7 linked regions of the Sus scrofa genome follow. The protein of the gene in region 1 purifies or fractionates together with the protein of each later gene. This does not show direct contact. Links are inferred from orthologs where the notes say so. Each region holds a gene or a part of one and is shown in the gene's direction. Other genes may lie near its edges.

The links.
Region 2: the proteins of CHD4 (region 1) and HNRNPC purify together in Homo sapiens (affinity purification with western blotting; 3 studies listed by BioGRID, with this or other methods). This does not show direct contact. The link is inferred for Sus scrofa from reciprocal best matches to the Homo sapiens genes CHD4 and HNRNPC.
Region 3: the proteins of CHD4 (region 1) and NOLC1 purify together in Homo sapiens (affinity purification with mass spectrometry, with the first as the bait; 3 studies listed by BioGRID). This does not show direct contact. The link is inferred for Sus scrofa from reciprocal best matches to the Homo sapiens genes CHD4 and NOLC1.
Region 4: the proteins of CHD4 (region 1) and BCL11A purify together in Homo sapiens (affinity purification with mass spectrometry; 5 studies listed by BioGRID, with this or other methods). This does not show direct contact. The link is inferred for Sus scrofa from reciprocal best matches to the Homo sapiens genes CHD4 and BCL11A.
Region 5: the proteins of CHD4 (region 1) and ZFHX3 purify together in Homo sapiens (affinity purification with mass spectrometry, with the first as the bait; 3 studies listed by BioGRID). This does not show direct contact. The link is inferred for Sus scrofa from reciprocal best matches to the Homo sapiens genes CHD4 and ZFHX3.
Region 6: the proteins of CHD4 (region 1) and TOP2A purify together in Homo sapiens (affinity purification with mass spectrometry; 3 studies listed by BioGRID and IntAct, with this or other methods). This does not show direct contact. The link is inferred for Sus scrofa from reciprocal best matches to the Homo sapiens genes CHD4 and TOP2A.
Region 7: the proteins of CHD4 (region 1) and ZMYM3 purify together in Homo sapiens (affinity purification with mass spectrometry; 3 studies listed by BioGRID, with this or other methods). This does not show direct contact. The link is inferred for Sus scrofa from reciprocal best matches to the Homo sapiens genes CHD4 and ZMYM3.

What each region holds. Positions count from the first base shown.
Region 1 is NC_010447.5:64,085,111-64,088,835, forward strand, and holds part of CHD4 (chromodomain-helicase-DNA-binding protein 4), read left to right. Parts: coding exon 1-87; intron 88-200; coding exon 201-374; intron 375-937; coding exon 938-1,079; intron 1,080-1,171; coding exon 1,172-1,303; intron 1,304-1,411; coding exon 1,412-1,529; intron 1,530-3,340; coding exon 3,341-3,465; intron 3,466-3,725. UniProt on the Homo sapiens protein: ATP-dependent chromatin-remodeling factor that binds and distorts nucleosomal DNA. Acts as a component of the histone deacetylase NuRD complex which participates in the remodeling of chromatin.
Region 2 is NC_010449.5:77,919,775-77,924,002, forward strand, and holds the start of HNRNPC (heterogeneous nuclear ribonucleoproteins C1/C2), read left to right. Parts: upstream 1-1,370; 5' UTR 1,371-1,499; intron 1,500-2,103; exon of another isoform or gene 2,104-2,148; intron 2,149-4,228. UniProt on the Homo sapiens protein: Binds pre-mRNA and nucleates the assembly of 40S hnRNP particles. Interacts with poly-U tracts in the 3'-UTR or 5'-UTR of mRNA and modulates the stability and the level of translation of bound mRNA molecules. Single HNRNPC tetramers bind 230-240 nucleotides.
Region 3 is NC_010456.5:113,153,112-113,157,566, forward strand, and holds the start of NOLC1 (nucleolar and coiled-body phosphoprotein 1), read left to right. Parts: upstream 1-1,507; 5' UTR 1,508-1,717; coding exon 1,718-1,837; intron 1,838-4,455. UniProt on the Homo sapiens protein: Nucleolar protein that acts as a regulator of RNA polymerase I by connecting RNA polymerase I with enzymes responsible for ribosomal processing and modification.
Region 4 is NC_010445.4:81,277,860-81,281,584, forward strand, and holds part of BCL11A (B-cell lymphoma/leukemia 11A), read left to right. Parts: intron 1-2,289; coding exon 2,290-2,391; intron 2,392-3,725. UniProt on the Homo sapiens protein: Transcription factor. Associated with the BAF SWI/SNF chromatin remodeling complex. Binds to the 5'-TGACCA-3' sequence motif in regulatory regions of target genes, including a distal promoter of the HBG1 hemoglobin subunit gamma-1 gene.
Region 5 is NC_010448.4:15,707,231-15,710,955, reverse strand, and holds part of ZFHX3 (zinc finger homeobox protein 3), read left to right. Parts: exon of another isoform or gene 1-283; coding exon 284-386; exon of another isoform or gene 387-409; intron 410-1,648; coding exon 1,649-3,725.
Region 6 is NC_010454.4:22,007,714-22,011,438, forward strand, and holds part of TOP2A (DNA topoisomerase 2-alpha), read left to right. Parts: intron 1-387; coding exon 388-526; intron 527-1,846; coding exon 1,847-2,004; intron 2,005-2,313; coding exon 2,314-2,439; intron 2,440-2,747; coding exon 2,748-2,858; intron 2,859-3,002; coding exon 3,003-3,108; intron 3,109-3,197; coding exon 3,198-3,307; intron 3,308-3,725. UniProt on the Homo sapiens protein: Key decatenating enzyme that alters DNA topology by binding to two double-stranded DNA molecules, generating a double-stranded break in one of the strands, passing the intact strand through the broken strand, and religating the broken strand.
Region 7 is NC_010461.5:57,276,627-57,281,019, reverse strand, and holds the start of ZMYM3 (zinc finger MYM-type protein 3), read left to right. Parts: upstream 1-1,592; 5' UTR 1,593-1,621; intron 1,622-1,980; exon of another isoform or gene 1,981-2,040; intron 2,041-2,087; exon of another isoform or gene 2,088-2,220; intron 2,221-2,235; exon of another isoform or gene 2,236-2,670; intron 2,671-3,443; 5' UTR 3,444-3,462; coding exon 3,463-4,129; intron 4,130-4,393. UniProt on the Homo sapiens protein: Plays a role in the regulation of cell morphology and cytoskeletal organization.

The sequences.
Region 1 (3,725 bases):
CAAACTGTTGCTGACTGGGACCCCATTACAAAACAATCTGGAAGAGTTGTTTCACCTGCTCAATTTTCTCACCCCTGAGAGGTTCCAGTAAGTGTGTTTTGATCCATAATCGGCTCATAATTCTTTTGTTTCTTTCTTTTGCCCATTTCCTGTATCACTTTTCTTTCTCCACATCAACAATTTTTTCTTTTCTTCGGAAGCAATTTGGAAGGCTTCTTGGAGGAGTTTGCTGACATTGCCAAGGAGGACCAGATTAAAAAACTCCATGACATGCTGGGGCCTCATATGTTGCGGCGGCTCAAAGCGGATGTGTTCAAGAACATGCCATCCAAGACAGAGCTAATCGTGCGTGTGGAGCTGAGCCCTATGCAGAAGTGAGTCTGAAGGGACAGAAACATTGGCTCTATTTTGCAGACATAGTTAAGACCTCAGCCGGCCTGCACAGCGTTGCCTCGTTCTCTCCGTACCCTGCTTCAAGGCATATGGGGACGGAAGCAAGCAGCCTAAAGAAACCCCTCCCCAAGGAGCTGGGGCCCAGAGTGCTTTCACTGTTTCTTGTTACTTATTTATGTATTTATTTTAATTTTTCTTTTTTGGCCGCGCTGAGGCATACCGAGTTCCCAAGCCAGGGATCAGAACTGAGCCACAGTTGCGGCTGAAGCTGCACCTGCCGAAACACCAAGTCCTTAACCTGTTGTGCTGGGCCAGGGATTGAACCTGCCTCCCAGCACTCCCAAGATGCTGCTGATCCCGTTGCGCCACAGTGGGAACTCTTCCTTACCTTATTTAAAATGATGAGGGTGGTGGTGTTTCTTAGGTTTTCTCAGTCCCAAAATGAGTGATGTTGGAAGGAAGGTCTCTGGCCTTGGGACTGCATTATGAGTCATTGAAGTCATCGAGTGTGACTTCTCTTGTTTTTTTTTTTTTTCACGTGTAGGAAATACTACAAGTATATCCTCACTCGAAATTTTGAAGCGCTCAATGCTCGAGGTGGTGGCAACCAGGTCTCTCTGCTCAATGTGGTCATGGATCTTAAGAAGTGCTGCAACCACCCGTATCTCTTCCCCGTGGCTGCAATGGTATGTTGTGCTGCCTCTTGATCCTCCTTGGGAACTGCTTCATTTGGGGTATCTTTCAATATATTTTTTTTCTTCTTTGCTTCTTTCCTCAGGAAGCCCCTAAGATGCCTAATGGCATGTATGATGGCAGTGCCCTAATTAGAGCATCTGGGAAATTATTGCTGCTACAGAAGATGCTCAAGAACCTTAAGGAGGGTGGGCACCGTGTGCTCATCTTCTCCCAGGTATTGCGTGGGCTTGGCTGGAATTTAGAGGGTGGCAGAGGACAGCTTGGCGACACAGGGAGGGATTATCCTGTGACTCGCCTGTGATAAATTGTGCTCCTTTGCCAGATGACCAAGATGCTGGATCTGCTGGAGGATTTCTTGGAACATGAAGGTTATAAATACGAACGTATTGATGGCGGAATCACTGGGAATATGCGTCAAGAGGCCATCGATCGCTTCAATGGTAAGAGGGAAGGAATGGTTTCATCCTGGCAGCCCCATTCACCAGTGGCCCTTGACTGGTCTCTTGTTCTTCCTGGGCATCTGCCTTTTTATTTAGTGGTTTGGGCTCTTTGTCAGTTGACTGAAAGAGTATTTTTGAAATTTTTTGTTTTGTTTTGTTTTTTTAGGGCCAAACCTGTGGTATATGGAGGTTCCCAGGCTAGGGGTCAAATCGGAGCTGTAGCCGCCTGCCTACACCAGAGCCACAGCAACACAGGATCTGAGCCACGTCTACGATCTACACCACCGATCACAGCAACGCCAGATCCTTAATCCACTGAGCAAGGCCAGGGATCGAACCTGCATTCTCATGGATGCTAGTTAGATTCATTAACCATTGAGCCACGACAGGAACTCCTTGAATGTTTTGATTGGAAGAATGTATTGGATTGTTCCTTGCAGATTATTTTCCCTTTAGAGTCTTCATTCTTTCTGCACTTCCTTTAATCCCCTTCATTGCATCTTGAGGCCTGGGTGGGCCTCAAGCCCAGACTGTGAGTTATTGGCAGATTTATCTCAGTAGCCACTACCACCTCCTCTTTTTTTTCTCACTTTTTAATTCGAAAGGATTTTGAACTTAAAATTCAAAAAATAGTGCAGAGACTTCATGTGTACCCTCTGCCAAGCTTTGCTTCATCATGACTTCTATTACCACAATTGAGTTGTCAAAACCAGGGTGTTAATGCTGGATTCATACTCAATTAAATGGCAGACTTGAATCAAACATCACCTGTTTCCTGTGTCAGGATCCAGTTTCTTTTTTTCTTTCTTTTTTTTGTTTTTGTTTTTTCTAGGGCCACACCCATGGCATATGGAGGTTCCCAGGCTAGGGGTCTAATCGGAGCTGTAATCTCTGGCCTACACCACAGCCACAGCAACACAGGTTCCAAGCCAAGTCTGCAACCTACACCACAGCTTATGGCAGTGTGGGATCCTTAACCCACTGAGCGATGCCAGGGATCAGATCTTTGTCCTCATGGATGCTAGTCAGATTCATTTCTGCTGAGCCACAGCAGGAACTCCGCATTCTTTTCTTCATGAGTTGATGCATTTGATGATGACTGGTCAGCTCTTTTGTAGAAAGTTTCTTAAGTTTAGCTTTGTCTGATGTGTTCTCATGATTAGACTGATGTTAGATATCTTGAGCAGGGATTCCACAGAAGCAGTACTGGATCTTTTTCATCCCTGGTGAGGGTGTCATGTTGATAAAGTCCCATTGCTGGTGTTAACCTTGATCACTTAGTTAAGGTGGTGTCTGCTGCATTTTTCTACTGTAAATTTACTTTTTTTTTTTCATTGTACCTGATAAATAGCCCGAGGGAGATATTTGAGACTATGGTCATGTGTTTTACCTTAAACTTTCACACTGATTTCAGCATCCATCAGTAATCTTGCTTATTACTTTGATGTTTGTCTAATGGTTTTTTTTTTTTTTTTTTTTCCACTTTTTAGGGCTGTACCTGTGGCATATGGAGGTTCCCAGGCTAGGGGTCAAATTGGAGTTGTAGCTGCTGGCCTACACCAGAGCCACAGCAACCCAGGATCCGAGCAGAGTCTGCCACCTACACCACAGCTCACTGCAGCACTGGATCTTTGACCCACTGAGCAAGGCCAGGAATCGAACCTGCAACCTTGTGGGTCCTAGTTGGATTCGTTTCTACTGTGCCATGACGGGAACTCCCTAATGGACGTCAGTGTTTCTATTATTTCTTCTACATTTATTAATTGGAAGTCAGGAGACACCTCTAATGGCGTTTTTGGTTCCTTTCTTAGCACCGGGTGCTCAGCAGTTCTGTTTCTTGCTTTCCACTCGAGCTGGAGGCCTTGGAATCAATCTGGCCACTGCTGATACAGTTATCATCTATGACTCTGACTGGAATCCTCATAATGACATCCAGGTGAGCAGAGGTGGCAGCTTTAGTGTACAGTGATTTATTGGAAATGCAGTGTTCTATGTAAGAGTCCCACCAGCTGGAATATGTTGTTTCAGGGGGAAACAATACATTCTATTCTTTTTGGTCTTTTTAGGGCCAAACCCACGGCACATGGAGGTTCCCAGGCTATGGCTCAAATCGGAGCTGCAGCTGCTGGCCTACACCATAGCCACAGCAGTGCGGGATCTGAACCATGTCTGTGACCTACACCATGGGTCACCTCA
Region 2 (4,228 bases), on another chromosome or scaffold:
CTTACTAAATAAGGTCAGATACACAACCCCAGCTGATCATACCGATTACCTTGCTGCTTCTAATGCTGTATAAAACGTACTCTTGCCCCAACTCCCTGGGGAAGTGTGCTCCACTGCTTGTGAGTCACTGTACTCTTCCAACCATGGACTGCTCTCCCTAAGTAAATGACATTCAACTTGTTACTAAATGGCCTTTTTTTTTTTTTTTTCCATTTGATAGGTAACAAGTAATTTCCTTGTGAATCTCTCTGGAATTCAGACATAATTCAAAATTAATGCATAAAACTGTATTCACATATACATATATTCCATAAGATGTATACAGATGGTATCACATTATCTAGATAGTATTCTGCATCTTGCTTTCTCTAACTGTACAGAGAAATATCCTTCATTCCTAGCATAGCTGGACCTATCCCACTGTGTGCATGGCTGCTATAATATAACCAGCGGGACTGGCAGGCGATGCCTGGAGCCAGAAGGTGGGAGACTAGCTATTTCAGATGAGGGGAAGAAGGGAGCAGATTTGGGGGACGAGCAGGGGGTAGGATTAGATGGGCAAGCCAATTCTGGTTGGCATGTAGGGTATTCGTGAAATGATTTGGGGCCAGAGGATGGGTGCTGTAATACTTCAGGCCAACATTTTAGACTTTCTTTACCTTTTGCAGTGGAGAGGAATAAGGAAGTCAGCTGTTTTGGGTGAGATACAGGTTGTCTAAAGAAGGGCTTGACAGGTTAAGTGTTGTCCAAATGGGAGCTCTAAGGTTGGAGTTTTGCAGGATTGGTTACTTTTCTAGTCCTTGGTGCTCCCTCCCAATTCTAAGAAAAGTGTTTTCTTTATCCACACAGCAGTATAGAGGATTCATTCGGAGATTCCTGCTTCCCTTTACCTAGGCCCGGAGCTAGGGCACATCCTTTGAGCCGCTACCAAACAAAATCCCGCAATCCTTCCCCGCCCCCGCGCCGCCGGAATTCCGAGATCCCGGCGGGCCTTCTACCAGGTTCTCTAAGGAGCAGTGATAGGATCCCGTAGCCGCCAATCACAACCTCCCGGATACCCGGATATGAAGTGGTGCGCGGTACAAAGGCAGGTTTCCACCTACCGCTTCGTCAGTTACAGTGGCCAATAAGCATTTCTCAGGTGATAAATGACAGGAAAAATAACCAGTTACAAACTAATTTCGCTCACGCATGTGGAAATTCTCTTGCTTAGTCTAACCCACCACTGATTGTGATTGGACAGAATTGTGAAGAGCGGTAGAACTGTCTAATTAGAAGCGGGAGCGAGAAAAAGCTCAGCCAATAGGAAGAGTCCTAGAAGTGGGGCGGGGACTAGGCCTTCGCCTCGGCGGCAGAGGAGACTCGGGGGCCATTTTGTGAAGAGGCGAAGACTGAGCGGTTGCGGCGGTGTTGCCGACCTCGAGCAGCAGTCCGCTTCTCCACGTAGAACCCGGGAGTAGGAGATTCAGAATCGAATCTCTTCTCCCTCCCCCCTCCTGGTAAGTGGAGGGGGTGGAAGCAGGGGAGTCGCTGGGTTCCTTGGGGAGCGCGAGGGGGTGTGGGAGAAGACGGGGGAACCCTCCTCTCGGTAGAGTAAGCAGGCCCCCGTTTATTCTATTTGCACGGGGGGATTAGATCTTATGCAAGAGAGTTTTATAGGCCTCAGCCCTTGCGTGGATTTTTAACCTAATGTCCTCTAGGCCAGGATCGGCAGGGAGAATGTCCTTTTTCTTCTTCTCGCTCTCCTGTGTTAACGGCTGCTGTCCTTTCATTTTCTATGACCATGAGGTCTCTAAGAGAGATCATGAAAGGGAAGATCGAAATGCTCATTAGTATAGTCCTGTAAATTTAAAAATTGAGCGGGGGATGGGAAGGGTTATCAAGCAGATATTTATTGTACCGCAAGCCTCTAAATTCTGGAGCGTACCACAGGGTATAGTAATAAATATAACAATAGGTTTAATATTTTACCGGTTAGTTTTTGTTTCACTCCTCCCTGAGCAAATGATGGACTTCGACGTAGTTATTTTCAATTCTATTTTTTAAATTGTAATCTCATTTACATATTAACAGTAATAATGAAAGCTGGCTTTTTATCTACAGGTTACAAATCACTTGAAATATATAAGTTAGTGGAGCTTGCTTGAGGTAGGTATTACTGTCTTTCTCAGATAGAAACCGCAGCATGAGAGTGTGGATTGCCAGGGTCGTATTAAATCAGTAGCAGGAGTAGTAAGGAATTTGGCCACTAGGTTAAATTAAATGGCTTTTCCTACCTCTTGATGTGGTAGATACTAACATACTGTATTTGAATCTTTACAAGAACGTAATTACAGCAACCACTAGCGGTAATTGGAAATTCCCAAACTGCCCTTGGGAAAAATATTAAATTATGAGAATTACATATACTATTGTTGTAACTTCCTAAGACAATAAAGTTTGACTTTCAGGGTATTCTGGCATGCATTTTACAGATCATCCAAACGTTGACCAAAAAAAATGCGTGCCTGTATGCTTTTTATTAAGTAGGTATTATAGTGCTTATTATTTGCTAGGTTCTGAAGCATTCAAGTTTTTTCCTAAACTTGCAAAAATTATGTGGGTTTTTTAGTAGTATCACATTCGCATATCAGATCCTTTTTTTAATTCTTGTGTAAGATTTAGGTGATTTTATTTTTCATAACGTGTTGCTTTCACAAAAGCTAGTATTAGCACAGTTTAAACCAGTGCTGCAGAATAAATTCATCCCTTAGGAAACATACTTCATAGGCGCTGAAAGTATTCTTATTTTACATAGCTATGTACTTGTTCCCTCACCATGTAGATAACTGTTCTAATTGTAGTAAGAATCAAAAACGTTGCTTGGGAGTTCCCGTCGTGGCGCAGTGGTTAACGAATCCGACTAGGAACCATGAGGTTGCGGGTTCGGTCCTGCCTTGCTCAGTGGGTTAACGATCTGGCGTTGCGTGAGCTGTGGTGTAGGTTGCAGACACGGCTCGGATCCGCGTTGCTGTGGCTCTGGCGTAGGCGGTGGCTGCAGCTCCGATTCGACCCTAGCCTGGAACCTCCATATGCGCGGAGCGGCCAAAGAATAGCCAAAAAAAAAAAAAAAAAAAAAAAAAAAAAAAAAAAAAAAAAAAAAAAAAACGTTGCTTGCTTTTTTTTTTTTTTTGGATAAAGCCTGAATATTTATACTATTACATGGACTTAAAACTAAAATTAAGTGCAGAACTGCCAGAAGTGACATAAGGGGAGTTCGCTGGTGGCTCAGTGGGATAAAGATAAGTCACTGCTGTGGTGTAGGTTCAATACCTGGCCTAGGAACTTCCACATGCCTCAGTTGAGGCCAAAAAAAAAAAGCAGTGATTAGTTAATTTAGGGAATTATATACCTCAAAAATATTATTGGCAAATAGAAATGTAAGAAATAAGTTTTTAGGAATAATTATTCATAGGAATTGGAATTGAAGGACACTTCTTGCCTTGAGGTGTTAGAAATAACGGGTTCATTAAGATCAGCATGTACCAAGGTAACAGTTCCTTTGAGTTAATGTCTATCCGGGATGATTTGGCCACAGAATTAGTATCTAAAACAGTTGTAGATTTGATTTCAAGTAGGTAGGCATTAGTAACATTTTCATGTTGGCTGAAGAAGATTTAAGAAGGAAGATGCAATTGACCTTTTTGTGTTTCCCAGTGCTTATGCCACAGGAAAACTTGATGGTATTTGCTATTCCTTTGGTAGAGAATTTAAACACACCTTTTCCGTGATTATGTCTCCAGAGGGTTTTACATGGTGTGGGACCTTGTTATTATGAATGGAACTGCTGTTAGAAACAAGAAACTCCAAGGTAGCTAGTTATTCTAATACTAAAGATTAATCTTTTAACTGTGAGGCTTTAACTGGGGAGTGTTAGCAGTAGAAAGATCCTTGGCTTAGGAGGAGTTAAGAGAACTGGATATTTCCCCCTCCCCCCATTATTACCTCTCAGGCAAATCAGTTAAACTTTCTGGAATTCAGTTTTACACTTATGAGGGAGCTTAGATTTCTTACATGTTTTAATTTTGTTGCCAGAAAGCTAAAACATGTACAGAAATAGTTTTAATGTTGAAAGCAGTTTTGTTTTTGGCTATACCCTCAGCATTCCTGGGCCAGGGATTGAACCTGAGCCACAGTTGTAATGTCAGATCCTTAACCCCATGCACCACACAGGAACTTCTGAAAGCAG
Region 3 (4,455 bases), on another chromosome or scaffold:
GGCATTGTCACTGCAGTGGCTCAGGTTGCTGCTGTTGCATGGGTTCAATCCCTGACCCAGGAACTTCCAGGGGCTGCTGGTGTGGCCCCCAAAACAACAACAAAAAAAATGCAGATTCTGACTTATGGGGTAGGGGGTCTGATCTCTGCATTTCCATCAAGAGTATGCTGGTGCTACTGGTCCAGGAAGTAATTTTAATATCAAAGTACCCCCACACATATTCCAAATAAAGGTTTTCTAAACCGAAGCTTGTGTGTACACAGACCTTATTAGCTTGAGCCACACACAATGCTTGGTGTTCAGCAAGTGCTCAGGTGTTTAAAGAATGCATGCGGGAAGATAGATCTTTGGGGAAGAGGAATTATACCAAGGACAGGGGAGTGCCTGTTTTGATGAAGGCAAAGGAAAGGTGTGTCCCTTTAGAAAGTGGAGCCTTACTTTCCTGAAGGGCGTGAATGGGAAGTAATCGAGAGGTAGTGGATAGGACTGAAAGGATTGCTGTCTAATGTGAACTGAAACGTGATAGAATTTATTTGGCAGGCCTGGGCACTGATTGATATTTGAGTACTCATGACAGGGATTGCGTTTTTTTGTTTTTATTTTAATGGCCACACCCATGGAATATGGAAGTTCTCTGGTCAGAGATTGAATCCAAGCTGCAGCTGTAACCTATGCTACAGCTGTGGCAACACCAGATCCTAACTCAGATCCTTAAACCCCCTGTGCCACAGCAGGAACTCCTTGTTTTGTTTTTGGTTTTGCCTGTGCCCAAGGCATGCAGGACTTATCAGGCTAGGGCTTCAACTCTTGCCACAGCAGTCACAGAGCCACACTAGTGACAAGGAATCCTTAACCTGCTGAGCCTTGAGGGAACTCCAGTTGAAGGGTTTTCTAGTTTTCCCCCAGGGAGAGTACCGGGTGTGAAAGTGGAAGGGTCATTTTCAGGGTTCTAGATTTGAAGAGATTGCTGCTGTCACTCAGATTTGGTGCAAAACCGCTTTTCCCTTCATGGAACTGACTTAAGGCTGTATAAGTAAAAGAAGAAAGGCTGTCTCAAGGGCAAGTCGTAATTTTGGAAGGGGCAGTTTTGAAGATCAGCACCTCATCACTACAACGGATAATCTGAAGAATCCTGTAATGGAGATGGGAGTGCAGAGGTTGGTGTGATACCCTGAGAAAGGGCCTCCCAGGGTGTCGGAGACAGTGAAGATGAAGGGTGGGAATCCACTGGCAGCACCGATAGAAGCAGTATGGGAAGTCATGTGACCAAGCTAAAGGGAGTTCAAAGTCAGCTCGGTCTCCCCAGCCCACTCCTTACCCTGGCATCCACAAGTCAGGGGCGCAGGTAACCACCACCCCAGGAAATGTGGCTGCGGCTGAAAGGCTTAGAAAGGCTGGGCGCGAGAACTCCGGAGTTTTCCCGCCACATCTCTAGGGCGTGACCCCTTGACGTCAGGGCTCCGCCTCCACAAAGTAGCCGAAGGGCGGGCTCCGCCCTAACCAAGATGGCGACACTCGTGGGACCGGAAAGAGTTCATAGATTTCGCCTTTACCCAGCCTCCAAGGCGGGAGCGGGAAGGCCCTGCGGCGTGTGCCCGCCCCTTCCGCTGTGTCCCGCGCAGCGCGGAGGCATCACACTGGCCCGTCTCAGCCCCTCCTGTTCCGGGTTCCTGAGTCGTGTGCGTCCGCGACGGTAGTGACGCGTATTGTCCGGAGGATGGCGGACGCCGGCTTGCGCCGCGTGGTTCCTAGCGACCTGTATCCTCTCGTGCTCGGCTTTCTGCGTGATAACCAGCTCTCGGACGTGGCCAATAAGTTCGCCAAGGCAACAGGCGTTGTGAGTTCCGGGTTTGGGACATAAGGGGGGATGACCACAGGGCTCTGGGCCCTGACATGCTTAGGTTTGCAGGTAAGGAGGTCTGTGGGGTCCTCCAGCCCAGTGTTTTGGGCCTTTGTGCCGAGCTCTCGGCAGTGTCCAGAGAAACCCTGGAATGCCGGCATCTCTTCCACGAAGTCTTACTACTCAGCGACAAGCCTTGTTGCTTTTTTTGGTGAGAGGTGAGGCGGCGGCGGCGGCAGCAGCAGCGTGGGACCCGCGTGGCCTAGGTCACGTGGCTGACAATGTTGCGAGAAGGGAGCGCTGTGTCCCACCAGAGGCATTGGAGGCTCCTGGTTCCTTCTTTGTGCTTTATCTTAGCTGATGCCAAGCGTGACTTGGACCTTAACTCTCAAATTTGAAACACAAATGAAATTGCTTTAGAAATAATGAAGGCTGGGATTTTCCTTAGTAAGAAAGGGAACGAGAGTAGAGGCAGGCAGGGTTCTGCTTCTAGTTATACTGAGGTAGGCTTGAGCATCATAGCTCTTCGAGGCATAGCTGTGAGCTTGACTCTTAACTTCTGGCATCAGACAAGTCTAAGTTTGGGAACAGCCTCTGCTTAAAAAAATGTATGATCCCGGGCAGCTTGCCTAGCCTCTCTGAATCTGACTTCTGTGGCGATGTCATCATGCACTTAATAGGATTTTTGGAGTTCTCTTGGTGCGGCATGTTAAGGATCCGACACTGTCTCTGCAGCTACTTGGGTTCCTGCTGTGGTGAGGGTTTGATCCCTGGCCAGGGAACTTCTACATGCAGTGGCCGCAACCAAAAAAAAAGTTTTCGTTGCTTTGTAGGAGTTTTGTGATTTTCAGTAGCAAGATATATACTAAGTGGCAATACCAGTGCTTTGTGCTCAGGAAGCATCAGTGAATGAATGCTCTTATCTTAGTTACGGTAACTTAGGATGTTCCAAGTACAGGTAAAGGGTGATGACCAGGAATGTGAAAGGTTTGTAATCTACATCTCAAGGAAAGCTGGCATGACTACATGCAAAAACACCTTGAGAGAGGGTAGAGTGGAATGGTAATCTTGGTGGTCTTGGTCTTTGACTAGGAGGATGGACTTGTTCTTTGTGGTAGATCGAGCCTTTCCGCAGTAGGCTGGATGAAATTGGGCCTTTCAGAATCAAAAATCTTTTTTTATTTTACTTTTTTTACTTTTTTTGCTTTTTAGGGCCACGCCCATGGCATATGGAGGTTCCCAGGCTAGGGATTGAATCAGCTCCAGCTGCCAGCCTGCACCACAGGCACAGCAACTCAGGATCCGAACCGTGTCTTTGACCTACGCCACAGCAAGGCCGGATCCCCCACCCACTGAGCGAGGCCAGGGATCAAACCTGCATCCTCACGTGGGATTTCTTTCTGCTGTGGGATTTCTTTCTGCTGTGCCAGGACAGGAACTCCCTCAAAAATCTTTTTTATGTGGCAAAAGCTGATCTGTGGAGGGTAGGGTCAGATGCTAAGCTCTCTTTTTTTCTTTTTTGGCTGCCCCTCAGGCATATGGAGTTCCCTGGGCCAGGGATCAGATCCCAGCCATAGCTGGGGTAACACTGGATCCTTGACCCGCTGTGGCAGGCTGAGGTCAAACCTGTGTCCCAGCACTCCTAAGAGGCTGCGCAATGGTGCCACAGTGGGAATTCCAAGCTAGGCCCTTTTTAAGTATTATCTCTTAACTTTTCAACAACTTAATAAGATGTGTAGTATTATCTATCTTATAGGGAAGAAAAAAGTCTCAGAAAGATTAAAAGATTTGCTCAGGGTCACACAGTAATAACTGACAGAGGTGAGTTTCACATTTACTCATCCAACTCTGAGCCTATGGTCTTGTATGTACTGTAATGACTTGCCCTTTTGGAGGACACCAACTTCTAATAAATATCAGTATAATTGATAGCTGAATGTAATTCTGTACTGAATATGTAACATAGCTTTTTACCAATCTTCTCTTGGAGGTTGGTTTCCAATGATTTGGGATTAAGCCACGTTGTAGCAAATGTCCTTTTGTGTAGGTGTTTGTCTTGTGGTCAGGATTAATTCTTGGGTAATAACACTGCTAGAGTAAATAGAATGCATGTTTTTAAAGCCTTTGATAAATAGAATTGTCAGGCAGCGGAATAGATGATGCCAGAAACTACAGGAATAGCCCAAGGGTTGTTTTGTTTCTTTGTTTTTGTTTTTGTGGCTGTGCCTGCAGTATGTGAAAATTCCTGGGCCCGGGGATTGAATCCATGCCACAGCAGGGACCCGAGCCACTGCAGAGACAACACTGGATTCTTAACCTACCATGCCACAAGTAAACTCCCAGCCCAAGTTTTTGATACCAAAAATTGGGAAGTAACTGTATAGAATATTTTTCTCCTAATATGTACAAGTAGGAGAGGTCTTACAGAGATGTAAGGTCTTTAGCAAATATAGCAGTATAAAACAGGTCATTTTTGGCCACCCCTTGGCACACGGGCCAGGGATCAGATCTGAGCCCCAGTTGCGACCGTTGCCACAAGCGCCGGAGGTCAAATCTGCATCCAAGATGCTGCTGAAGCTGTGTTGCACCACAGCGGGAACTCCTAAAACAAGTCA
Region 4 (3,725 bases), on another chromosome or scaffold:
TGGATACTCAGATACTCACTCTTCTTCAAGAGCCTTTGCTTTGCCCGGTGGTCTAGGGCTGTGGAGAACTGGGCCAGGCTGCTGCCCCCAGAAGCTTAGCTTGCTCCAGGCCAGTGGTTTAGTTGAGGGGTTTGCCAGTGGGAGATACATGCAAATGGTCAGGCCTGGCTAGGTTAACTGTTCTCCCGTTTCTTGCTGGAGGCCTACTCCAGGCACCTCAGGGTCTCTTCCTGGAGTAAGTGGCAGGGAATTTGAAATGAGACTCTCCCCGTGGGAGGGGCAGAGTACCTTGGGCTTTGATGCTGAGGTCACAGTACCCAGTTGTGGAGGTCTCCTAAGAAAAGGATTTCAGTCTTGGCGACACACTTCTTAAATAGCTGAGGCGAGAACAAGTGCGAAAATGGATTCTCAGATTTCTCGTTGAAAAGCGCTATGACTAAATCTGTAGTTAATTTTACCCTCTCCTCTCAATTCATAGAATGTAAGCAGTCAAATGTTTTTTAAGTCCAGCCTTGCCACTTTTGCTGGGTCATTTTGTGGTATTTGTTGTGTTTGGGGTCAGGGAGGAGGACATGCCTCTGTAGATGGTCTTGGGCGAGGCGGCCTCCTGGGCAGGCCCAGAACAACAGATTTATGCCTCCGTGTGAGAGCTTCCACGAGCAACGCCATTGTTACCCACCAGGCTCCTCATGAAAGGAAACTTTGTGCCGGCTGCCCTGGCTGTTCTTGGCAGTGTGATCTATAGAAGGGGAACAGGATGTATTTTACACTTGAGACCTGCTATCCTAGAGCATAACAACAGCTCTTCTAAGTGCTCTTAATATTAAGCTAATGGAAAACACACTCTGTTTACTCACCATCAAAGTCTGTTTTTCTTCTCTCCTGCCTCCCCCAGTCATTACAAACTCCAAGCCTCTAGGATACGTGGAGTGTCCGCACTCCATCTATCCTCCACTCTGTCTCCAGGTTGACCTCTGCATGCTTGGTTAGCTCAAGGTGGACTTGGAAAAGCTAGGCACTCACCACATAAACCATATAATCCCCAGGTTGCACAAACCAAATATTTCCTTTTTCACAAAAATCTCAATGTTAGAAATGCTTGATTTACTGCTAGATTTATGTTTATTAGTGGGAGAAGTCATTTTTCCTCACCAGAGTGCAACCCAGTGCTGTAGAATAGAGGAGCAGGGCCACTTTTTCCGGGTGCTGCTATTTTTGGAATGCTGGTTATCTCCTTGTCTTTGAATGATAGGATTCCTTATCCTGAAGATGAAGACTTGGCCAAAGTTACTTTGACCCCAGAAATCTAATCTTTATTGTCCACTGCTTCGTGTTGTAAGAAGCCATGTCTATAGTGGGTACTCCACGAGTAAATTCTAGAGCGTGGTCCAACCTTGAGATGCCCAAAGTTTCCTTGTCATTGAAGGTGCTGTCATAAATACAGCATGGGGGGCAGTGGGACATGGTTCTGGAAGAAATGATTCATAAATCACTCATTTCCTGTGAGCTTATTGTTTCTGCTTGAGCTTGTCTCTAGAGTAAATGTATGCATGTTAAACCAGCCTTGCAGATAAATCCCCCCATTTTGCCAACCTGCCAATCATGTTACCAAGTTTTCCCCTTGCTATTTACACATCTCTTATTATCAGACAATAATCAGACAAGACAAACAAATGAACCAAAGAACCCACCCCATACCTAAAACAAAAATCTTCTCTTTTGTCAAAAAAAGACCAAAATTAAGGAGTTTCTGTAGTGGTGCAGCGGGTTAAGAATCCAACTGCAGTGGCTCGACTTGCTGTGGAGGTGTGGGTTCAATCCCCAGCTTGGTGCAGGGAGTTAAAGGATCCTGCATTGCTGCAGCTGTGGCATAGGTCACAGCTGAGGCTTCGTTTCAGTCCCTGGCCTGGGAACTTCCATATGTTGTGGGAGCAGCCATTTAAAAACAAACAAACAAACAAACAAAAAAACAGACCAAAGTTAAAAGAGTTCTCTGGTGGCTTCGTGAGTGAAGGTCCAGCATTGTCACTGCTGTAGCTGTGGTGTGGGTTCAATCCCTGGTCTGGGAGCTTCCACATGCCTCGGATAGAGCCTAAAAATAAAAACAAAACAGAACTGTGGGAAATAACTCACCACTGTTCTTTTGATGCAGGCCTTGGGCCTGTGAACTATCTGCAAGGCTGTTGTAATGATGTTAATCTATTTTAATGGAATTGAAATGTGATATCCTGTGGTTTATGATGCTCATTGTTTATAGCTTTAGTGCTTGATTGTGGGTTTCTTTCACAGATAAACTTCTGCACTGGAGGGGCCTCTCCTCCCCTCGTTCTGCACATGGAGCTCTAATCCCCACGCCCGGGATGAGTGCAGAATATGCCCCGCAGGGTATTTGTAAGTTGAGCATTATTTCTTCTACAAATGTCCATGTGTGTAGAGAAGAGAGTTTCTAGAAATTACCCTTACTTTTTAAGTATGGAAAGGAGTTGCTTCCAAAATACATTGGCACCTGCCTATGTATTGTTCCATTACTCACTTGTCACCTGCTTCCCCAGTCCACTCAGCCCCCAGTGGCTCCCCCCGCCTTTTTCTTTCTCTCCTGACTGAAGGTGTGGGGCTCATAGCTGCTCATCCCTGTGGGTCTCCTCCCAGGGTCTTGTGTGGCTCCACAGTAGCTGCTGACTGCATACCTCTGTGTGTTCAGGGCCCATTTTATTGCTGGACATTCATTCCCATGGCCTCTTTTAGGACTCTGAATTGATCCCATGGCATACATCTTCTGCAGAGGCCAGAACCAAAAGGAGTCCATTTTAGAGCTACTCTAGAGTTATCCTCATGCATGTTATATATGCATTTGTATGTGTATTTAAACATGGTATATTTTTATATATGCATGGTATATTATATATGTACATACATATATAATTTCTACTTGTTTTTCTCCTAGATTTAGAGAAAAATGCACAGCATTGTTGCTAAAATTCAGTGATACCACCCCCACCACCACTGCCACCTTCCAGTTACTTGTTCAAGCCAACTTTTATAGTGGGGATCTTGTTATGAAATTTAGATTTGTATGTTTATAAAAATGTTTTTGAAAGATGTTGTTTTATAAGGTAATACAGCTTGCTTTTCTCTGTAGGAATAAATGGTATGAGTCATGCATAGCTAAAAAATCAGATGGGGTGGAGGGTGGGGGTGGGGGCGGGGGGTTGATTCCACCCCAAACACAAAAAAGCGGGTTCAAGAGGAAAAGAAGTGTGACATCTTATTTGCATTTAAGGAAAATAGTTTCATTTTGAAATTAAAAAAAAAAAAAAAACCTGTTGTGGAAAGAAAAAAAAAAGGGAACCTGTCATGGAAAGGGAATAACAAAAAGAGCAGGATGTTGGAGCTGGGGCCTTAAAAGGGACTGGGAGGTACACTCGACCCAGTCTCATGAATGTATCTGCAGGGCAGAGCCTGCACCCTGAGACCAAATTCAAAGCTAGTTGTTTATTTTGATTAACTCCTAGGTAATCCTAGGTAACAATGAGTTATTGTGCGAATTACACAAGCCCTCGGGTCCTGAGGGCTGGGCGGTGCAAGGGTTAAAAGCACATCCTCTTCCCCTAACCTGCCCCCCCAGTGACCGAGCTGGGCTGCAGCCTGGCTTAGGTCACCTATTGCATACAGTTTAGGGGATTGGACTCATGATTTCGAGTCCCTACATGCTGACTGGGTGGGGA
Region 5 (3,725 bases), on another chromosome or scaffold:
ATCAAAGTCAAAATTCTGCATAAAGGAAAAATATTAATAATAAGATTATTCTTCAAGTGTGCACTGCTAATTATGTCCAGAATGTAACCGTAGAAACACTTTTGACTGATGTGAGCTTTGTCTAATAAACATGAGTCTTCAGTGAGCTATGAAAAGTGACACCTCCAGCTTCACACTGGTGAAGGCTAATTTTGCTTATTAAATAATTTTTACAGATCTCCCCATTTTGTGTCTCTTTCCTCTCCATTTGACTCTGCTCGCTTCTCTGCCTCCTGCTCTTCAGGTGACTACCCCTGAGATGGTGATGCCCAGCAGCATGTTCCTCCCAACGGCGGTTCCAGATCGAGACGGGAACTCCAGTGTGGAGGAGGCAGCCAAGCAGCCCGGTTAGTGTCATTATTTTTGACTCCTGAGAACAGAAACAAAATGAAACCCAGGGTCAAAAGCAGTGGTGCCAAGAATTCTTTACAGTACTCCTAAGCCGAATGTAACTGCTCAAGGGATAAGGGGCACTGTTGTGTCAGCTACTTGAGACTCTGATTCTTGGCGTGATTTGTGTATTCCTCATATGGCTTGAAGTGAGAAAAAAATCAGGTGAGAACAGTGGGCTTTTTGATGGACACACGCCCCTTCGACTGTACACTGAGGGAGTTTTAATCAGAATCTCAGTCAGGAGACCCATGACTTAGCATCATAACCTGTTAAATACTCCCTCTCGGAGGACTTAGTTACTCGGGAGGGACTGGTGATCTCAGGTGCTCTCAGGGAAGTGGATTAGCTGCCTTTCTAGGAGCTGTCCCTGCACAGCGTTCTCCTTGGAGACCTCCAGGACTGCCTTAGGATGCCGCAGAGAGGTGCATTGGGAAAGAACTCGCTTGTAGACATAGATGCTGCGGGTGGCACCCCATGGTGGGTCCTAGCTGGGCGAGTCCTTACACCCCTGTTCACAAGTGTCTCCTACATCTCTGACTTCTTGTCACCAGCTGAGCTAGAAATTGGGAAGGGCTAATACCGTATCGCCCCGACTCCACCCTTGTGAGTTCTCCACATTAGACAGTGGACAGCTGATCTGAAAAAGGGTCAGAGAATATTTATAGGTGTGGTAATCTCACTGTAGCAAAAGTTTTAATGTATTTTAATAATTGGCCACTTGAATATTCATTGTGTATTTATTAGAGATGACAGTCAGAAGTCATAACAAGAAATTCAGTGCCTAAAAATATATTCCAAAATGTCTTCTATTACAGTGGGTAGACATTCTTGCAGACTCCCCCCATCTTAGGATAGCATTAATTCATATAGTCTACAATTCAGATCCATGTCAGGGGGTGTGCTTCAAACCAGTTCTTGAAAAATTGAGGATTCTGAGTCCAGCAAGTATTTAAAAGACAAATCTGTGCTACGGTATGGTCTCCTAGAAGTCGAAACTTCCTGCATGTCCTTTCCTTCCCCTCTGATCATATGCACCTGCTTATAACCTGTGCTCTCGGGGGTTGGGGCCCTTGGAGAGATTGTGTGCAGGGTGGCTATTTCCCTCATTGTGAGACCGTGTTCGTGAGGCCTTGCTGGGTAGACAGCTCTGGGTGCCATCCTTAAAACAAAGCCTTCTTTATCATTGGGTTTGACTTTTTTTTTTTTTTTTAACCAGAAACCTCAGAGGATCTGGGAAAGAACATCTTACCCTCTGCGAGCACAGAACACAGTGGAGATTTGAAACCCTCGCCTGCTGACCCAGGCTCTGTGAAAGAAGATTCAGGCTTCCTGTGCTGGAAGAAGGGGTGCAACCAGGTTTTCAAAACTTCTGCCACCCTCCAGACGCACTTCAATGAGGTTCATGCCAAGAGGCCTCAGCTGCCCGTGTCTGATCGCCATGTGTACAAGTACCGCTGCAACCAGTGCAGCCTGGCTTTCAAGACTGTGGAAAAGCTGCAGCTCCATTCTCAGTACCACGTGATCAGAGCTGCCACTATGTGCTGTCTCTGTCAGCGCAGTTTCCGAACTTTCCAGGCTCTGAAAAAACACCTTGAGACGAGCCACCTGGAGTTGAGTGAGGCTGACATCCAGCAGCTTTATGGTGGCCTTCTGGCCAATGGGGACCTCCTGGCAATGGGAGACCCCACGCTGGCCGAGGACCATACCATAATTGTTGAGGAAGACAAGGAGGAAGAGAGTGACCTGGAGGATAAACAGAGCCCAACGGGGAGCGATTCTGGCTCAATACAAGAAGACTCGGGCTCAGAGCCCAAGAGAGCTCTACCTTTCCGAAAAGGCCCCAACTTCACCATGGAAAAATTTCTAGACCCTTCTCGCCCCTACAAGTGTACCGTCTGCAAGGAATCGTTCACACAAAAGAACATCCTGCTGGTGCACTACAATTCTGTCTCCCACCTGCATAAGTTAAAGAGAGCCCTTCAAGAGTCAGCAACGGGTCAGCCAGAACCCACCAGCAGCCCTGACAACAAGCCTTTCAAGTGCAACACCTGTAACGTGGCCTACAGCCAGAGCTCCACTTTGGAGATCCACATGCGGTCTGTGCTGCATCAGACCAAGGCCCGGGCAGCCAAGCTGGAGGCTGCCAGTGGCAGTAGCAACGGCACTGGGAACAGCAGCAGTGTCTCCCTGAGCTCTTCCACCCCAAGTCCTGTGAGTACCAGTGGCAGTAACACCTTTACCACCGCCAATCCAAGCAGTGCTGGCATCGCTCCAAGCTCCAATTTACTGAGCCAAGTGCCCACTGAAAGTGTGGGAATGCCGCCCCTGGGGAATCCCGTAGGTGCCAACATTGCTTCCCCTTCTGAGCCCAAGGAGGCCAATCGGAAGAAGCTGGCAGATATGATTGCATCCAGGCAGCAGCAGCAGCAGCAGCAACAGCAGCAGCAGCAACAGCAACAACAGCAGCAGCAACAACAAGCACAGACACTGGCCCAGGCCCAGGCTCAAGTTCAAGCTCATCTGCAGCAGGAGCTGCAGCAGCAGGCGGCCCTGATCCAGTCCCATCTGTTTAACCCCGCCCTCCTTCCTCACTTCCCCATGACCACTGAGACCCTGCTGCAGCTGCAGCAGCAGCAGCATCTCCTCTTCCCCTTCTACATCCCCAGCGCCGAATTCCAGCTCAACCCTGAGGTGAGCCTGCCGGTGACTAGCGGGGCGCTGACGCTGACTGGGACCGGCCCAGGCCTGCTGGAAGACCTGAAGGCTCAGGTTCAGATCCCACAGCAGGGCCATCAGCAGATCCTGCAGCAGCAGCAACAGCAGCAGCAGCAGCAAAGCCAGCTCTCTCTCTCCCAAAGTCACTCTGCCCTCCTTCAGCCCAGCCAGCACACTGAAAAGAAAAACAAATCAGTCATCAAAGAAAAGGAAAAGGAGATCCAGAGAGAGAGGGACAGTGCCGAGGGGGGAGAGGGCAACTCGGGACCAAAGGAATCACTGCCAGATGCCTTGAAGGCCAAAGAAAAGAAAGAATTGGCCCCAGGGGGTAGTTCTGAGCCTTCCATGCTCCCTCCACGCATTGCCTCAGATGCCAGAGGGAATGCCACCAAGGCCTTGCTGGAGAACTTTGGCTTTGAGCTGGTCATTCAGTACAACGAGAACAAGCAGAAGGTGCAGAAAAAGAACGGGAAGACTGAGCAGGGGGAGAATCTGGAAAAGCTCGAGTGTGAGGCCTGTGGCAAGTTGTTTTCTAACATCCTGATTTTAAAGAGTCATCAAGAGCATGTTCATCAGAA
Region 6 (3,725 bases), on another chromosome or scaffold:
CTGGACACACCTCACTAAATATAACATGCTTTTCACTTACCCATAATACTTATCATGCTTGTAACTTTTTATTTTCTCTGTCTTCCTCCTTGTATACTAAACACCTAGAGAACAAGAACCATGTTTAATTTGTTACAAGATCTCAAACATGTAGCTCAGTATCTGGCACAATATAAGTATGTAGTCAGTAAATATTTGCTGAGTGAATAAACGCAAAGGAACCCGTTCCATCAGTGGTGATAACCTAAGACAGGACGAAGTGCCACCCTCTAGCCATTATTTTTCTACTTCTTTTCATCTTTAAAGTATTTTTATTTTTATGGGGGCTCATTTGTAGTCTCAATTTCTGATAAAACTCTTCCCTAAGATGAATTTTCTCATTTTCAGGCAATTGGCTGTGGTATTGTAGAAAGCATCCTAAACTGGGTGAAATTTAAGGCCCAAGTCCAGTTAAACAAGAAATGTTCAGCTGTAAAACATAACAGAATCAAAGGAATTCCCAAACTTGATGATGCCAATGATGCAGGTATAAATTTAATAATGTTTCTAAACTTTAAATCTCTTAGTTCAGTTATTTGTTTTACTCATTAACAGTGTACTGTGGTATCTTCCCTTGACAATTAATATCCAGAAGAATATTTGTACTTTGTTAAAAAGCAACCAATCCCCTGTTAATGAACATTTAAGTCATGTTCACTCTTTAGCTGTTATAAATAATGTTGAGATGATTATTTTGGGGGTATAAAACAAGAATGTTAGGAGTTTCCACTGTAACACAACAGGATAGGCGGCATCTCTGTAGCGCCAGGATGAGGGTTCAGCTTCCTGTGGGCACAGTGGGCTAAAGGATCCGGCATTGCTGTAGCCACAGGTTTCAACTGTGGCTCGGATCTGATCCCTGGCCTGGGAACTCCATATGCCAGTGCGGGACAGCCAAAAAAGAAAAAAATAAAACAAGAATGTTTAGAATACAGTGATCTATTACTTAATGTAGAAGAGAAAAAAAGTCATCTCGACCATCTTAGGTTCCTGGTTGTCTCTGAAAATTAAACTGAAAAAAGCAAGTGAATTTATTAAGTATAGTTTCATGTGACACCAGAACATTTATAAAGAAATGAAGACCTAAAGAAATGGTTAAACCTAAGTGTTTTATGCTAGCTTCGACAAAGAATGGAAAGTTGTGGAAATATATGATAGGACAAAGATTATAAGCGAAATAGAATAAACTTAGGGAAAATTAGCAAGGCTAAGATTCAGATTCTTGACCCTCAATCTTGGATTAGAATGTCCCTTTCTTTGTGGTATAAGGAGGTTACCTCCTACATGAGGGTGGCATGTCCTAAACCCCATCATCAACAAAAATATTAAATGTAAGACTTCCCGTTGTGGCACAGTGGGAATGAACCCAACTGGTATCCATGAGGATGTGGGTTCAATCCCTGGCCCAGCTCAGTGGGTTAAGTATCCAGCGTTGCTGTGAGCTGTGGTGTAGGATGCAGATGTGGCTTAGATCCTGTGTGGCTGAGGCATAGGCTGGCAGCTGCAGCTCTGATTCAACCCCTAGCCTGAGAACTTCCATATGCAGCCCTAAAAAACAAAAATATAACACTAATAACGTAATATAATCAAACCAGTGTTTAGCAGCAAGATAATTGTCGTGAGAGATTTATCTAAGAAACTAAGGCTTTATTAAGAATTTTAGCTAAAATATGTATCTAATTACTTAGCTCCATTTTACCCCAAGCCAATTTGTTATGAATTATAAATTATTTTCGTTTTATCACGTATCTGAGTTAGTGTATTCGAGGTTGAACTAAATGTGTTAATATCAATTTGTTTATTTTAGGGGGCCGAAATTCCACTGAGTGTACGCTTATCCTGACAGAGGGAGACTCAGCCAAAACTTTGGCAGTTTCAGGCCTTGGTGTGGTTGGGAGAGACAAATACGGAGTTTTCCCTCTTAGGGGAAAAATACTCAATGTTCGAGAAGCTTCTCATAAACAGGTAGAATATAAAAAAACTATCTTTAGAATCTCAATCTAGTTCTGTAATGCAGGACTTCATGCTCATATTTCATTCTCTCATTGAGTGTTCTGAAATATATCTTAGTTGTTATTTTAGGAAATTAGGTACATTGTAGCATATCTTAACAGATCTTTCTGACTTACTGAAGTATAGGCTAATAACAAAATATTAGAGTTCAAGAAAACCCAAGCAACATATACTATTTTATTTCTCTCTTTTTTTAGAGTTTATAAACAAAATATTACCTTTTTTTTTTTTTTTTTTTTTTTTGCTGTATATCCATTTCAGATAATGGAAAATGCTGAAATTAACAACATAATCAAGATTGTGGGTCTTCAATACAAGAAAAACTATGAAGATGAAGATTCATTGAAGACTCTACGTTATGGGAAGATAATGATTATGACAGATCAGGTCAGATTTGTTTAAGATGATTAAATTAAACCTGTCTTATTATTGCATTACTTTCCTGCCCTGAAAGAAAATAATTAACCTGAAGCTGTATTCATTACCTTTAATTCATATCTAATCAGATATATTATGTTTATATTACGTGTATATTAAATGTACAGTTTAAGTGTGTCTGAATTTGATAGCCATTTTTTTAAATACCGATAGAAAAAATTTTGACAAATTATCTGTACATCCTTCGTAATTTTATTTATTTATTTATTTTAGTTTCTAAGCAATTCTTTTGTATTTTGGCTTTCCAAATATTTCAGGACCAAGACGGTTCCCATATCAAAGGCTTGCTGATTAACTTTATCCATCATAACTGGCCCTCTCTTCTGCGACATCGTTTCCTGGAGGAATTTATCACTCCCATTGTAAAGGTATACTAACTTCTAAGATTACATAATGGATATTTTAAGGCCCTGCTCCTCAACCCTAGATACACATATAACCCCAGTGGTATATGGTGGTATGCAGGGACCCCAGCAGTATAGAAACCCACAGCAATATGTTTTGTACCTTAGGTATCTAAAAACAAGCAAGAAATGGCTTTCTATAGCCTTCCTGAATTTGAAGAATGGAAGAGTTCTACACCAAATCATAAAAAATGGAAAGTCAAATACTACAAAGGTTTGTAATGAAACTCATAGAGCGTCTCGTTTTGTTATATACCATGGCGCAAGATTATATGGAATAGCTTGCTTTTCTTGCTTTTGTAGGTTTGGGTACCAGCACATCAAAAGAAGCTAAAGAATACTTTGCAGATATGAAAAGACATCGTATCCAATTCAAATATTCCGGTCCTGAAGATGATGCTGCAATCAGCCTGGTGAGTTTGAGTTATATTTCACACATACATTCTGGTTATAGAGATCAATGCTTTAACTGGTCATTTCAAACATTTAAATTTTCACGTAATAAAATATAGAGTAGAGGAGTTCCCATCGTGGTGCAGCAGAAACGAATCCAGGTTCAATCCCTGGTCTTGCTCAGTGGGTTAAGGATCCCCACTGAGGTTGCAGGTTCAATCCCTGGCCTTGCTCAGTGGGTTAAGGATCTGGCGTTGCTGTGAGCTGTGGTGTAGGCTGCAGATGCGGCTTGGATCTGGCATTGCTATGGCTGTGGCGTAGGCTAGCAGCTGTAGCTCCGATTAGACCCCTAGCCTAGGAACCTTCATATGCTGCGAGTGCAGCCCTAAAAAGACAGAAAAGCCAAAAAAAAATATATATATATAGAGAGAGAGAGTA
Region 7 (4,393 bases), on another chromosome or scaffold:
TATGCCGCAGGTGCTGCCCCAAAAAGAAAAAAAACATATTTTTTTAAAAAAGTGTAACATTATATCAAGGGCATTTTCCTGTATCATTTTAATAGATTTATTTTTTAGAGCAGTTTCAGGTTTGTAGCAAAATAGAGGTGAAAGTACGGAAAGTTCCCATATACTCCCTGCCCCACACCTCCTCCCTCCTTTACAGCCTCTCTTGAGGGATCAATATCCCCCACCAGTGTGGTACATTTGTTGCAATTGGTGGACCTACATTGATACATCATTATCATTCAAAGCTCATAGTTTAGGGAAGAGTTCACTTTTGGTATCCTACATTCTATGAGTTCTGACAAATGTATCATAACATGTGTTCATTACTATAGTATCATACAGAATAGTTTCACTGCCCAGAAATTCCTCTGCTCTGCCTCATTAGCTTTTTAAAAAATATTGTTGTTAATGACTACATCCACTGTATGAATATAACCAAAATTGATTTGCCCAACCTCCTACCGTACATTTAGATTGTTTTCTTATCTCTGTTTTAAAGATGAGAAAAATAAGACCTAGTGACTTGACAAGTGATGTATCCAAAATCAAATGGCTAAAAAGCAGGCAGAGTGGAGATTAGAATCCTGGTCTCCAGAGCTCACACACATTGCCTCTGAATACACACCATCAATGCCCCCTTTAGACTGTCTCCCCTCAACTTGAAACCAGGCATTCTCCACCACCAGAGAAGCCAGAGATCCAAGCATGTGTTGAGAAGGGCAGGCAATACAAAAGAACGAGGCGGCCCAACTGTGATGCAACAAAGTGAAAATCCAAAAGGAGGTAAAAGGACACAGAAATAACCAGAAGGTGGGAGATGGGTACACAGAATACTGGTTAAGGTAAAGAAAAGGCTGGGCTTGGAAAACCTGAATGGGAAAACTCTTGCTTTTATCTCTGTATATGGGAGAGAGCAAAGATAACCTCAAGGCCATGGGGGGAACAGGAAGGATAAGGTTTCTGGGAAAGTGAATGAGACAAGGGAGGATAAAACTCCCAAGGACTATAAGGCTAGGAAAGGCTTAGTATGGGAAAGAAGAAAGGCCCAGAGCAAGAGGCACGCCAGAGCAAGCACTGGACAACAAACCTACGTGTATTTCTAAAAATGTGGCGGGACTCTTGTCCAGCCTGAGCCTCTTCTAGTATCTCAGACACCAAATACTCTTCAGCCCTTAAGGGTCAGAGGGGGAAAGTGGAGAGGGGGGATTGGAAAGTGCCCTAACTCTGATGGGGACTGAGAAAGGATCCTGGCACACATTTTTTAAAGCCAGTAGGCCTAATACTAATGCCCCCTCCCCCTACCCCACTTCTCCAGCCTCAACCCCAGCCACACCCACACGCTAAGGACCATCCAGGAGGGGGAGTGTGTGTGTGCGCGCGCGCGTGCGTGCTCGTGCATAAGAGAGCCAGAGAGACAGAGACGAGACAAAAAGAGACCGGGAGAGAGAGAGAGCGCGCCAGAGAAGGAGGCGGGGAGAGGGAGAGAGGGACAAGGACAGAAAAAGAGGGAGGGAGGGAAGGAGAGACAGAGAGAGACAGACAGACAAGAGATAGAAAGGAGGAAGGAGGACTGTCGGCCTTGGTGAGGAAAACTACAGAAGAGATAACGCAGGGGGCTCCTGCGGGAAGACTCAGGGAGAAGATCCCAGAACTTACCCTAAGACCGTGGAAGGAGTAGGGGAGTGTCTTTGCAGGACCTGGTTTTGGGGTCATCAGGCAGTAACGGTTACTGCATAGGCGTTGTCACTGAGCCAGAGCCATTTAACCCGCCCTGGGTAGCTGGAGACCAGGCTTAAGACACCCCACAACTATGAGTCTCAGAATGGTTAGGGGGGCCCGAGGCTGCAGACAAGGGGAGGAGGGGCACGTGAGGGCTGGGTCCTTTGCCTCCCCCCACCCTCCGCTGTCACTCATTACCCCAGCAGTCGCCCAGGGGGCGGGCCCCGGAGAGGTGGGGTTGGGGGGAGGGTAATCTTGGCAGGCGCCTGCTGCATGGCGTAGGTAGGGACTGTTGAGGGGGGCGGACGCCGGGGGGTTGAACACGAGTGGGAAGCGGAGAGAGACACGGGTAGGGGGAGGGGACCGGGAACCATTTGAATGAGAGGAGGGGATCACGGGTAGAGTGGGCTCCAGGAGATAGGGCGGGCACGGGTGTGACGGGGGGCCAGACTCTTGAGCCAGGTAAGGGAAGCAGGTGCGTAGATCTGTTTTTTGTGGGTTATTGTACTCGGCCCTTTGGTGTAAAGGGGGTGCCGCCTTTCCCGGGGGGCGGGCTTCTGAGCTCCAGAGGCTAGCTTTTCCTTCTCAACTAACGGGGCCCCGGGCGGGGGCTCAAGCTCCATCTCCAGTGCCTACGTTCCACTCCGCAATTTCCAGGCGTCCACTGGGCTGGGAGTCTCGCGCCGGGGGCCGGCGCTGTCTCGCGAGCCCCCTCCACGAGCCAGCCAATGGGGTTGGTTGCTGGCGCCGCCCGCCCGCCTGGTGCAGAGCGCTGGGCGCTGTGAGCGGCGCTGCCATTTAAAGGGGCCGCGACCCCTGTCCCGGCTGCTAGGGAGGGAGGTGGAGAAGGAGCGCGGGGCCGTCGCTGTCTGCAGTTCTAGGCTTGTAGCGGTTACACTAACCCTGCCGCAGGTAGGGGTCGGGCCTGATCAAGCCGAACCGAACCTGCAGGCGGGAACTCGCAGTAGCCGGGAGGGGGGGGGGTCCAAGGAGAGATCGTAGCTCCAAAATGTCTTCCTGTAAATGCCTGAGGTGGGGGGTGGGCAACAGGAGGAGGACTGGGAGAGCTCTAGGAAAAGGGGACGGGGCTGAGAAAGTGGGCGACCCTGAAAGGTAACTGGGGGGAGGGGTTAGGAAGGGCAGTTTGTGGGGGCGAGGGAAGGGCTGAGAGGACCATGCAACGCGGGGAGGTGGGGGTGGGGCCAGACAGGGTGGGTAAAGACTGGGGAGCTGGGGGGCTCTAGGAGAGAGGGGAGGGGATAGAAACTGAAATCGCGGGGGCGGGAAAGGCTCCCGGTGGCAACGGCCCTAGGAGACTCTAAGGGGGCGTTCAGCCCGAGTTGGGCGGGGGGAGTGAAAGGTGAAGGGGGAGGGGATCAGGGAGTTGCAGTGGGGTGGCGGGGGTACGCGGCGAGTGGAACGACAGCCTGCCCGGCGAGTGTGGGCACTGGGCCAGGGCGGGGAACGCCTCTCCCCACAGGGGGCGCTGTATTTGGGAGGGGGGGAGTGGTCATTTGGACTAAAGCCTTTGGAAAGGTTTGTCGGTTGTGTTGGGGGCGATTCAGGAGAAATCCAAGTGGATAATGGGGTGTGTCCCAGAGCCTGTATTAGAAGGAATTCTGGCGAAGACCACCTCTTCTGCCCCCTCTTCTACCCCTACCCCCTCTTCTACCCCTAATCTGCAGCCCATATCCAGTCATCCTCATGGACCCCAGTGATTTCCCCAGTCCGTTTGACCCGTTGACCCTGCCAGAGAAGCCCCTGGCTGGAGACCTTCCAGTAGACATGGAATTTGGAGAGGATCTACTGGAATCCCAGACTGCCCCAACTCGAGGATGGGCGCCCCCTGGCCCTTCTCCATCCTCAGGAGCCCTGGACCTGCTTGATACCCCTGCTGGCCTGGAAAAAGACCCTGGAGTCCTGGATGGAGCCACTGAGCTGCTGGGGCTGGGGGGGCTGCTCTATAAAGCTCCCTCCCCCCCAGAGGTGGACCATGGTCCGGAGGGGACCCTTGCATGGGATGCAGGAGATCAGACCCTAGAGCCTGGACCAGGGGGCCAGACCCCTGAGGTGGTGCCACCTAACCCAGGGGCTGGGGCAAACCCCTCTTCACCTGAGGGGCTACTAGAACCTTTGGCTCCAGATTCTCCAATAACCCTGCAGTCCCCACATATTGAAGAGGAGGAGACCACCTCCATAGCTACTGGGAGAAGGGGCTCCCCTGAGCAGGAGGAGGAGCTTCCTCAAGGGCAGCCACAGAGCCCAAATGGCCCCCCCAGCCCTTCAGTGGGAGAGACTCTGGGGGATGGAATCAACAGTGCTCAGACCAAACCTGGGGGCCCTAGCCCCCCTGCACACCCTTCCTTGCCAGGTAGGTTGCCTGATCAGCTGGAAAATCAAGGTGAAGAGAGAGGGTCGGGGGGATAAGGAGGGTGGCTGTGTGTTTGGGGAGGAAGTGGGGTGGGGGGAGGGTGGAGAGATAAGGTTAGGAAGGAATGGAGGAGTTGGGGGTTTGGAAGGGAGGAGTGGGGTGTAGTGAAGGAGATTAAAGGGAGTAGGAGTGAGGGAAGCTCAGTGACTGTGGAGGAGGAATAGGGATGAGGTCTCAAGGAGTGGGTTGAGAAGAGTGGATTTG